Linked DNA regions of Sus scrofa. The protein of the gene in region 2 purifies or fractionates together with the protein of the main gene of each other region. This does not show direct contact. Links are inferred from orthologs where the notes say so. Each region holds a gene or a part of one and is shown on either strand. Other genes may lie near its edges.

Region 1 (4,267 bases), on a different chromosome or scaffold from region 2:
ATGGAAGTGACATGATGAATTCTGGACTTTTGACAAAGCAACCTGACAACTGAGTGGAGGGGGATTTGATAGGGGCAAGACCTGAGCTGTTATCAGAGTCCAGGTGAGAGAGAACTTAACTAGCATCCTGATGTATGTATACACACAGACACACACACAGACATATTTTTTGCTTTTTTAGGGCCACACCAGCGGCATATGGATCCCAGGCTAGGGACTGAATTGGAGCTACAGCTGCCAGCCTATGCCACAGCCACAGCCAGAGCAAGGCGGAATCCTTGCCCTCTGGGACCTATATACACCACAGCTCATGGCAATGCCAGATCCCGACCCACTGAGCGAGGCGGGGGATCAAACCCAGACGGATACTAGTTGGATCAGTTTCTGCTGGGCCACAACAGTAACTCCAGGATCCTGATAATTTGGATGTACAGGCATGAGTGGATTTATATTTATTATATATATGTGTGTGTGTGTATATGTATATATATATATATATATATATATATATAATGGATTTATTTTTAGATGACAGAATCTCCATACTTGACACTGGATTTTAAGTGGGGAGTGAAGGAGCAGGAATTAAGGATTACTTCTAGATTCTGGTTCAGGCAACTGAGTAGAAGGATGAAGACATGCATAGAAATCAGAAACACTGAAAAAACAGTGGGGACCTACAAGTTCAAGTTTTCTGAGTTCACCAAAGTGGAGCTGTCCATTACGTAGCTAGAAGTACTGGCTTGTAACTCAGGAGAGGAGTCCAGGCTGGAAATAAGAGATTTGGAAGTCATCACCATTTAGGTCCTGGGGGAGGCTTAGACTGAGCAGGGAGCATGAGAACAAGCCTCGGGAAGTAAGTCTTCCGATTGATGTTCAATACAAGAACTATCCTTTCACGGCGTCTTTAGTCTTTTCTGCGTCATTTTCCGGAATTTGGACTAAGTGGAGAGGGGCTCTGGCATAGAGGTTTTTTACAAGCAGGGCCGGAACAGCTGCCCTAGCTGTTAGAGCAAACTGAGAAAGTCTCAAGGTGCACTGCTACCAGAAGAGAGCGATTGCTGTTAAGACGATGTGGGGGTTATCAACGGTTGTAAAAGTAAGTTTCAAGAGCCGTTATTTCTTTGTGGTCGGAAATCAATTCTTAGACGGTAACGAAGGCCGGCCAGCCGGGAGATTGGGGGGATGGGCTGGACCCGAATTTGTTGCCATGGAGATGGGGCGGATTAAAGTGTCCGAGATTATTCGAAAGGGACACTAACAGTGAAAGGACCAAAAAAAAAAAAGAGAGAGAGAGAGACAGATGCTGGAGAAAGTAGTTATTTGGAATCATACACGGTAGGTGAAAGAGTCAGCACAGCAAAATCAGACGGCTCGCCCTGGGGACCACCTACACACAAAGGGGAACCGGGTTCCGCTCACCGGAAGCAGAACCTCTGCCCTTGGCGCATTACGCAGTCCCCGGCGCATTACGCAGCCCCCCGCGCCGGAAGAGCGCCCTGCTCGTTTGGTTGTTCCCCACCGCCCCAGTGGGAGGGGGCCACGGGGCCGCTAGACTGAGCCCTAGGAGACGTCGGCAGCGCGGACCTTCCGCGGTCGAAGAGCCAAGGAGCGACCTGTGTTGTCTGGAAAAAGAGAGAGAGGAAGGTCGCGCAACTGGGCACTGCTGCGGAGGGATCCTGTTTCTGGGTGGCGGAGGGATTTGGTCGTACGCTGACTTCCGGCGAGCCCCGACCTGAGAGGAAAAGCCCCGAAGGAAACAATAACAAACGTTGGAGGAAGCGGTTTAGGGTTTCTTGCGTTGAGCGGGTTTCGCCTGAGAAGATGAGCTTCGGCCCCTGTCAGCGGACGTGAGCGCCATCAGTGGGCCCACCCAAAGCTACTCTCTCTGCGCCGCGGGCCCCTGTGCGACCATGGCGGGCATTGGGCCGGGGGGCTACGCGGCGGAGTTTGTGCCGCCTCCGGAGTGCCCGGTCTTTGAACCCAGCTGGGAGGAGTTCACAGACCCGCTCAGCTTCATCGGCCGCATCCGGCCCCTGGCGGAGAAGACCGGCATCTGCAAAATCCGACCGCCCAAGGTACCGGAGTCTGATCGGGTTCGCTTGACTTCCCGGCCCTTCTGTCCTTTCACGTTCACTTGCCCTGGTTTCTCGACACCTGGACGCTGCGTTTTTGGATGTTTCTGCCTTGGTTTCTTTGGGGTCTCATGTAGGCACGTCCGGACGCGAGAGAGTGGTGCCCCTGGGGCCTTTCCGCCTAGAACTTGGGAACTGATACTTTCCTTCCTCTATTGGGTTGTGGGCAAGGGTAACAAAAGCTTTCGGTCTTTCGTTGGCCTGTAAGGTGTTTGAGTTACTGACACGACGTCTTTACACTCGCGTATAATTCTTATTAAGGTGTCACAGTAAAAACTGCTGTTCGATCGGTGGGCTGTTTCTTCAAGCCCTTTTGATGCTTGATTTATTAAGTATTTGGAGGCCTCATCTCAGGGCTGAGGTTTTTAAGATGGTAATGTAAACCTCTAGTTGTTCCCTTAGGATGGTTTCACCAAACAAGAACCCCAGAGTGATTACTGCTGCAATGAAAAGTCTTCTCGGGGGAGGAGCAGCAGCAGCATTTATTTTTAAAATCTAGAGGCTTAGAAAGGATTTGTCAAATGAGGTGGAAGAAAATGTCGAATCTTTTGCTGTAAGGAACCATGAATCAAAGATTTGCGAATCGCGATGATAGCAAATAACTGGGTTTGCCAGTGGATTAGTTATAATATCAATCTTTACGATGAAATTTAGTGCCCCAAGAGGTTGAATACTTGCTCAAGGTCAAAAGGTTTTTTTCTCTATTCGTCAGACCAGTGCTTTCCAAATGACATTCCTGGTTCACCTGCACCGGAGGCAGCCGGATGCTTGTTAAAATGCATATCTCTAGGCCTCATTCCCAGTCTAGAATCAGTTTCTGGATATGAAAGTTCTAGAAGCTGCTTTTCCAATAAGTACTCTCATGATGCTTAATGAACATTAAAGTGTGTGAACCCTACCCTTAGTGCTTCTTAAAGGAGTACCTTGCTTTATGTCCTGTCTACTAGCAATAAAAATAACATATTGTCCTTTTATCCATTGTATTTTAAAAAGCATCTGCTCTGGCCACAGGCTATCCCAGAGGTGTGTGCAGCACTGTGAGTAAAAAGAGCTTAGACCGTGGGGGGGGGGGGCTTGGGGAGAGGGGGAGCTAATTCAGCGTTTACAGATTATTTCATTTAATATTGTTTGAAGCTCCAGAAGGGAAACAAGGTCTCATTTTACAGATGAGGCAAATCTGCATAAGTTAAATAACTTAGATATGTGATCTTGGGCAGTGGCAAAGTAAGTTTTGAATCTAGATCAGTCTGTTTGTTTTTAAAACCCAGACAAGCTTCTCCCCTAGTTCTCAATGAATTTAAGATTATAGACTATCAGTTGGCAGAGAAGGTTGAACAAATAATTACTGTGATGAATGAGGATATATGTATTGTCATCCTCCAAAAGTTTAACTCTTTAAAATTTTTAATTGTCACTTAATACTTTTTCTGTAAAGATTACCTAATATTGACAAAACCTTAAGTACTGAAGTTTTTCCTAACCCATGTATTCATCTAGTGTATCGCCTTAATGAATAGAGACTGTTCATTTTTTTAAAATATAGCTGTATTACTTAAAAAAGACTGAAATAATATACCTTCTCTGTGTCATGTAATTGTTATTTAAAATAAATGTTTACAAACATTTCAGTATTTCAATATTAGGGGATTTCTTTAGTTTCCAAGGTAAGATAAAAAATTTTTTGACTACTTTTCACATTTTTAAATGCATTTACTATTATTTAGGCCAAATCAAACTATGTTGTCTGGAACTCTACTTGAAATGTGTTTTCTCATTTCATTTATAGCACATTTTTAATCTGGAAATTATCCTTGTTCTGTGGGTTTGCCTTTTTTTTTTTTTTTTTGAATATCTGGGTGCCCAGAAGCTGGGCTTTGGACAAAACATTTATATAACAGTCTTATAAAGTGCTGTGTCACATTGAACATGAATAAAAAACATTATCCAATTACATAAGTACTTTTTGAAAGTTAGTTTTGGGGCTTTAATTTTACCTGTTTTTGTTTCTTTCAAATTTTGTTTTCCTTGTAATTTGATAAACTTGGATGTTTATTAGACACAGTATTGAGACACCTGAAGTTGTTGCATCCCACTTGAGTAACTAGGGAAGGTGTAACTGGGATGTAAATAAT
Region 2 (3,500 bases):
TGTGAGCTGTAGGGTAGGTCGCAGACACGGCTAGGATCCTGAGTTGCTGTGGCTGTGGTGTAGGTTGGCAGCTATAGCTCTGGTTTGACCCGTAGCCTGGGAGCCTCCACCACGAGTGCAGCCTTAAAAAGCATAATAAAAAAAAAAAAAAAAGAAAAAGAAAAGGAAAGTACATAGAAGAGTGGACTTTCAATCAGGATTGTCAGCAGAGGCAGTGATGTGACAGGACCACCTCTGGGGCTTCTGTCTCACCTCTTGTTCCCCATCCTCAGGTTCCAGAGGAGACAGTGTAGCATAAAGTCTCAGAACACAAACTCTGGAACCAGGCTGTCATGGTTCATAGGTCAACCACTTACTGGCTCTGTGGTTGCAGGCAGGTTCCTTAGTCTCTCTCGCCTCATTTCCTCACATGCAAAATGGGAATAATCATAGTGCCTAAGTCAGAGGGTTGTTGTGAGGATTCAAAGTATTGATATATATAAAGCACTCAGAGAGTTCCCATGTGGCTCAGTGGAAACAAATCTGACTAGCATCCATGAGAACACAGGTTCGATCCCTGGCCTCGATCAGTGGATTAAGGATCCAGCATTGCAGTGAGCTGTGGTGTAGTTCACATGCAGGGTCAGATCCCACGTTGCTGTGGCTGTGGTGTAGGCTGGCAACAACAGCTCTGATTCGACCCCTAGCCTGGGAACCTCTATATGCCACGTGTGCAGCACTAAAAAGACAATAAAATAAAATAAAATAATAAAGTACAGTGTAGACATAATAAACATGCTATAAGACTAAATATTTGTAGAATCCTTCCTATATTGAGAGTGCTATATTCCTCAAGCAATTAAAACAGAAAAAAAAAAAAAAAAAAAAAAGGAAAGTAATTTCAGCATAATATATGTTTCAAGGGCTAAGGTCAAGTTATCACCAGACCAGTCTCTCCTAGTATCTAGGAATTTTAAAATTTTATGAAAGTGATATATATGTTAAAAAATGTGAACTTTGGCTGCTTTTTAGGACCAGAGGAGGATCTTCCAAGGAAAATGGAATACTTGGAATTTGTCTGTCACGCACCTTCTGAATACTTCAAGTCACGTTCCTCACCCTTCCCCACAGTTCCCACCAGACCAGAGAAGGGCTATATATGGACTCACGTTGGACCCACTCCTGCAATAACTATTAAGGAAACGGTTGCCAACCATTTGTAGTTTAAAAAGTAAACCCAGATTTCTGGTTGTCTTGTATCTATACTGTTACTGTGAGATATGCCACATGTTTCTTTAATGAAATTCTTGGATGAAAAAATAGCCACAAAGTTTTTTGCCTACTGCCCAGTAATCATTAGCTTGTTTATTGCTAGTCACTTAGAATACTAAGAGATTGAAAATAATTAAATATATTTTGAAGTGAAGAATTAAATCCTGTGTGTGTAGCCTCCGAGGCAAAGACTAACTTCCAGGAAGGCCACTTTAGGAAAAGGTTGTATCTATTTTTCTCCATAATTTATTTCTAGAAACTCATAAAATGGATTATATTTTTCTACAAGAATAAAATATTAATTAAGGTTTGGATTTCTAACCAAGGGTGGAATCGAATCAAATGTAGCTATGATCCACAGTCTCCATCACCAAGTTGAAAAAGCTTTATTTTATCATCTGGAAAATGTTATGACAGACTGTTGGCTTCTTTAACCTTAAGGAAAGTGATTGGTGGCTAATTTTATTAGCCCAGGCTTCTAGAAACTTTCATCTAATTCTTCTGTAGTAAACAAGTGTTCAGAATCATTTTGATGGATTTTGTGTGTGTGTGTGTATGTGTGTGTCTTTTTGCTATTTCTTGGGCCGCTCCCGTGGCATATGGAGGTTCCCAGGCTAGGGGTCCAATTGGAGCTGTAGCTCACTGGCCTGCGCCGCAGCCACAGCAACATGGGATCTGAGCCACGTCTGCAACCCACACCACAGCTCCTGGCAACGCCAGATCCCCAGCCCACTGAGCAAGGGCAGGGATTGAACCCTCAACCTCATGGTTCCTAGTCGGATTTGTTAACCACTGAGCCACGACAGGAATTCCTTGATGGATCTTAGTAGCGCTTCCCTTCACTAGCCTCACTTCTCAATCAGAGCAAAGCTTCCAGTCAAAACATGAAGTTGTAGGAGTTCCCATTCTGGTGCAGCACTAAGAAACCCAGCTAGTATCCATGAGGATGCAGGTTCGATCCCTGGCCTTGCTCAATGGGTTAAGAATCTAGCATTGCTGTGAGCTGTGGTGTAGGTTGCAAACCCAGCTCAGATCCTGCATTGCTGTGGCTGTGGTGTAGGCCGGCAGCTGCAGCTCCCAATTCAACCCCTAGCCTGGAAATTTACATATGCTGTGGGTGCAGCCCTAATAAGACATAAAAAAAAATATATATTAAGTTTTATAGTGCAGTCAACTTGCCTAAAAACACGCAGGAAACATACTATTTAGACATCCCAGAGCAGTAGTTTCTTGCCACCATTAGAGTAAACATTGGGCAGTTATAGCAATGATTAATTGACATAGATATCTAAAAACGTCCACCCCCAGGAATTCCCCCTATGGCACACTAGGTTCAGTATCCAGGGTTGTCTCTGGTGGCATGGGTTCGATCCCCAGCCCTGTGCAGTGGGTTAAGGATCTGGCGTTGCCACAGTTGTGACATAGGTTGCACCTGTGTCTCCATTTGATCCCTGGCCCAGGAACCTTCACATGCTGTGGGTGCAGCCAAAAAGAAAAAAAAAGGTCCACCCAAAGTTAAAACTATATGCTGCAGCCTCATAATACCAGGCGTAAAACAATGTCTTGGTCTTAGAAGGCCAGGCCCAGGTTTTCTATTCACTATTCAGCTTTTACTTCAAGTGTAGCTCAGCTAAGTAAGGGAGCAACAACTTAAAAGCGGGAGGTAGTGGTGACTGCTCACACCTGCCTCTTCTCTTGTCCTGATTTCACCGTGTTTTCTCAACCCCAGGAAAATGTGTCAGGATCTAATGGAATCATAATGATTTTGAGTTGTAGCAGTTTTAACTGTTACCATTTTTCTACACAGTTACAATTTGTATGTTGGAGGGAAGTTACTGTTTGTATTTGTGGACAGATAAGGTCTTTGTACATAATTGTCTCTGTCTTAACAGAAGTTATAGGTAAGTTGATTGTAAATACCATTGTAAATAACTAAATGCTAATATTCAAACTTTGGGATTAAAACATATATTTCACAATGTATTTACTTTGTATTTATTTGTTTCATTTCAACAATTACATAGAGCTTTCTACTCCAACACAGTGTTAGTAGAAGACACAAGTGATTCTGATGTGTGGCCAGAAGTGAGAAGCACTGCTCCGGCTAGTTCTCTTAGCATATAAAATTCAGCTGATAAAGACTTCAGTTTCTACCAAGAGAGGAAAAGATTGCTAGCATCCTGCTTTGGGGCAATTTGGGCAGCTAATCAAAAGCCTACTTCTACCAGTTATCCCTGGTAAAGGTAATT
Region 3 (3,979 bases), on a different chromosome or scaffold from region 2:
TTAATCTGTGAAACGGGACAGAGAACATGCAGGGTGTCTCAATAGAACATGTACTTTTTTTTTTTTTTTTTTTTTTTTTTTTGGCTTTACATTCTGCAGCACCCTCTAGTGGAGTGTACAAAAATAAGCATTTTATTTCTGCTCTTCAAAGCAGTGCTTTTTAACTTCGGTGTGCGCTGGAATAACCAGAACAGTTTGTTATCTGTCGTAACACAGAAAGCCAAACCCTACTCCTAGAATTTCTGACTGGTTAGGTTGGAGGTGAGGCCTGAGACTATAAATTTCTGACAACTTCCCAAAAGGTGATAATGATGCTACCGGTGAGTCTGGGAAACACACTTTGAGAACCTCTGCTCTAAACCTCACCCATTCCCCGGGGGGGGGGGGGGGTGTATGTGTGCGTATTTATGAGCGCATACCTGCGTGCATGCACACATGTATAGGATCTATAACTGAAAGAGGTACAACTTTTGTTTGATTTTGATTAGTATCCATCTAATAAGGATTTTGTGAAGAAGAAAAGAATATCTGTGTGAAGAATATGGTAACACTACCTAAAACACAGAAGGCATGCAAAAAAAAACCTGAAAGCACAGCATATAAATCCCAGGGCCTCAGAACTAGTAAATGGTGGAGTAAGGTTTAAAATCAGGTCTTTGACTCCAAAAACATAATACGGTTTACCAGTACCACTACAGAAAACAGGGTAGAAACACATACCTAATCATAATTTCAAGAGGAAAAGAAAATCAGTTTTCAGTAATTGGGTCCAAGTCCAGTAAAGATGTATGTCTTTACTAACTAAACAAGCCATCTATATTTTCACTTGGGGTGGGGGTGGGTAAGGGTGAGGGAAGCACTTGAAGTGAAGATCCTAACCCCAGAGACGCTTCCAATCTTCATCAGCACCAGTACCTCAAGTCTTTCATCAGTTCTGACTGCCCACCCCTGGCAAAAAAAAAAAAAGGCAAGAAAGAAAGAAGAATGGGAGGGGTGATTTTTTTTAATAAGGAAATGAGGTAAAACATTTGTATCTAGGGCCATAGTCTCCTGATAGAGCAATTAACAGAAATTAAATTGATTTTTCCCCAGCAATGAAATATATATGAGTGATTTCTATAGATTGAAGAGTTCAGCAAATCAGAAAGGGGGGGGGAATCCCATAATTCCAGGGACCAAACAGCCAATCCTTTGATGGAATTTGGCGGCATCTAGTGGCAGATGCAAAAGGTATAAACCTCATCCAGAGAACTTTCTGGAAAATTAACTGAGCGCGTACTTGCCTGAAGAGCACACTGCTTGGAGATCAGGAGTGAAAGGTAAGAGAGCCTCAACTCCTACAGAAATTGGGAGTCCCTAGTGGAGGGGAAGTCTGTTGTATATAGATATTCTCTGCAGAAAATTGTTTGTGCCAAGAGAATTGTACAAAACTTGGGGAAGGGGGGAGGGGAGGGAGCGGGTAAGAGGTGGGGAGAAGGTTATTAGGGAACAGGAAAGAAACTGTTTCGTGGAATTGCTAATATAGGAACGGGAAGGTTCGGCTTTTAACCACTGGAGGGCTAGGGTTTAATACAGGATTTTGACACGGAAAAAAACGTGGGAAGAAAGTGTAATTTTAGGGTTTAAAATTAAATCGATGAGAGATCGAAATATCCCTAGCAAAGACCCTTTATCTTAGTTACGGTCGCCTTGCCTTAACTATTTAATGATTTTCCTTTTCATCAGAACAATATTCAAACCTACGAAAGTAGAAAACGATTCTTACAGAGCGCGCGCCCCCGCACACATCCGTGCGCGCGCGTGTACACACACTCACACACACACACACACACACACACGAAGGCGCACGCACCCGCTCGGCGACACACAACGGCCCCAACGCTAGGGGCGCACGCCTGCGCACACCCGCCTCCAACGCCACGAGGCCTGGCGTTCGCGCATAAGCCATCCCCAAGGCCACGCGGGCTCGCCTGCGCACAAACGCCGTGGCCCTGACACCACACGGCCGCAGCACGCCGCCACCCGCCACCAGCATACACACCGAAACCCCACTCTGCCTTTTTTTTTTTCTCCAAGAGTTGCGCAAGAGGTTGGGGGCGTGGCCCCAGATTTGACCTCGCGCTTCCCCACTCGCGGGAACTTTAGCTCATTTCCGCCCATCCTGTTTCCGCAGGCCACGTAGACACTTCCTTTCCCAGTGGAAAAAAAACCCATAATGCCTCCCTGCAGGAAAAAAAAAAAAAAAAAAGAAAGAAAGAAAAAAAAAAAAAGAAAAAACCTCTGGTCAGAGGAACTCTGGGTCGTGAAAATAGGCCACGTGAACACCCTGCCCTATAGACTTATGACCCAACTGCTGTCGCGCTTTTGGGGGGCGGGCTAAGAACCTAAGAGGGCGAACGTCATTGGCCACAGTCCGCACTAAAGGAGGAAGGTGATTGGTTTTCCTCAAGTCTTAACCGTGAAGAAGCAGGTTGCTAGCACCCGCCTTTACTGCGGCTAAGTGTCATTGCTGACGTGGTGGGCTTCCACCAATCATTTGGTTATGGAACATTCTAAAACTTAGGCAAGACGATTGTGATTGGCTAGAGGGCGTAAGCCCGCCTCCAGGGTGACGTGTCTGCCTATGGATATCAGTTGCCAGAGAAACCTGGCTTTACTATGGCGGTTGGAGGGTCGGCAGTGATCACACGTCGGCTGCTGGAAAGAACTGGATTCTCGTTTCAGGTTTCGGGGTGGGGGTGGGGAGAAAGGGTTGCCGATTTCCTCTTATCGTTGCGTATATAGACAAGATTAACTGATGGCTTCACAATCAGGCAGAGCTAGATTCAAATGCCTACTCGCCAACGCCCAGCTTGGGCTGGCTCCCGTTCTTTCTGTGTCTCGGTTTCCATGTTTGTAAAATGGTGATAATAATAGTATCTACCTCAGAGACGTGTGCCTCAGAGGCGTGTGCTGTATATTAGTGCGTATAACTAACGAATGCAAAGTAATATAATATAATACGCTTAATAACTTAATATGAAGCCTGACTCCGGAAGATATTAGCTGTTATTATGGAGAGAAAAAAACGCGTAATAGAGAAAGAAAACATAAATTATGTAAAGTCGTTCATTATAGTGTTTTTCCTGCCCATCATCTCCTCCCCTAGAAGAAATTCGAGATATAAAAGAGACGTATCAGTTTTTACCGATGGAATAGTTTATTTGGGAATTGCCTCAAAATAGCGGGGATTGGAATTTTCCATATTGAAAAGTTTAAAAAAAAAGCGGCGGGGGGGATGGGGGTGGGGAGAGATGGAGAATGAGCGAGCTGGAGATGAACCACATGCGATGAGTAGGCCTTGTTTGGATCCTGATTCGGACACATTAACTATATTTTTTTAAAAAACTGTTTAAGATGCATCGGGATATTTTGAAGTCGTATTCAAATTCGATTTTTTGGGGGAAATTGATGACGATGTTTTAGACGTTAAAATGGTATTGTGGTTATGGTTTCAAATTGTCTTTAGCTTGTAGCAATATATATGAAAATACGGATTAAATAGTAAAATGTCTGAGATTGGCTTCAAAATATGTTGATATCTATGATTTGCTTCAAAATAATCTCAGCGGTAGGGGGACGTGGGGAGGGGTATAGATGAAACCAAATTGGCCCTAAGTTAATCGTTTAAGCTGAGTGATGGGCATATATGATTTCTTAAATTATACTGGCTTTCTTGGTATATGTTTGAAATTTTCCATAATAAAATACAGAAAGTCAGCTATTCACTGAGCTTGAAAAAAACGGAGTGGGGGGGGAGCAGTGGGTGGGGTTATAGATAAAACAAGATGGCCTTCAGTTGGTAATTGTTGAAGCTGGAGGATAGATTCGCATAGGCTTATAATATTATTCCCTCTACATTTTTATCCATTTGCAATTATCCTTAATTAAAATTTTTTAAAGGCAAAAACAAACTAGTTTATCAGAAATCAGGGTAAAT

Evidence for each region. The genes of interacting proteins can lie anywhere in the genome.
Region 1: the proteins of GATAD1 (region 2) and KDM5A purify together in Homo sapiens (affinity purification with mass spectrometry; 6 studies listed by BioGRID and IntAct, with this or other methods). This does not show direct contact. The link is inferred for Sus scrofa from reciprocal best matches to the Homo sapiens genes GATAD1 and KDM5A.
Region 3: the proteins of GATAD1 (region 2) and MORF4L2 purify together in Homo sapiens (affinity purification with mass spectrometry; 4 studies listed by BioGRID and IntAct, with this or other methods). This does not show direct contact. The link is inferred for Sus scrofa from reciprocal best matches to the Homo sapiens genes GATAD1 and MORF4L2.

What each region holds. Positions count from the first base shown.
Region 1 is NC_010447.5:67,713,344-67,717,610, reverse strand, and holds the start of KDM5A (lysine-specific demethylase 5A), read left to right. Parts: upstream 1-1,467; 5' UTR 1,468-1,913; coding exon 1,914-2,078; intron 2,079-4,267. UniProt on the Homo sapiens protein: Histone demethylase that specifically demethylates 'Lys-4' of histone H3, thereby playing a central role in histone code. Does not demethylate histone H3 'Lys-9', H3 'Lys-27', H3 'Lys-36', H3 'Lys-79' or H4 'Lys-20'.
Region 2 is NC_010451.4:72,366,831-72,370,330, forward strand, and holds the end of GATAD1 (GATA zinc finger domain-containing protein 1), read left to right. Parts: intron 1-1,011; coding exon 1,012-1,202; 3' UTR 1,203-3,234; downstream 3,235-3,500. UniProt on the Homo sapiens protein: Component of some chromatin complex recruited to chromatin sites methylated 'Lys-4' of histone H3 (H3K4me), with a preference for trimethylated form (H3K4me3).
Region 3 is NC_010461.5:84,563,505-84,567,483, reverse strand, and holds the start of MORF4L2 (mortality factor 4-like protein 2), read left to right. Parts: upstream 1-1,179; 5' UTR 1,180-1,319; intron 1,320-2,443; exon of another isoform or gene 2,444-2,724; intron 2,725-3,979. UniProt on the Homo sapiens protein: Component of the NuA4 histone acetyltransferase complex which is involved in transcriptional activation of select genes principally by acetylation of nucleosomal histone H4 and H2A.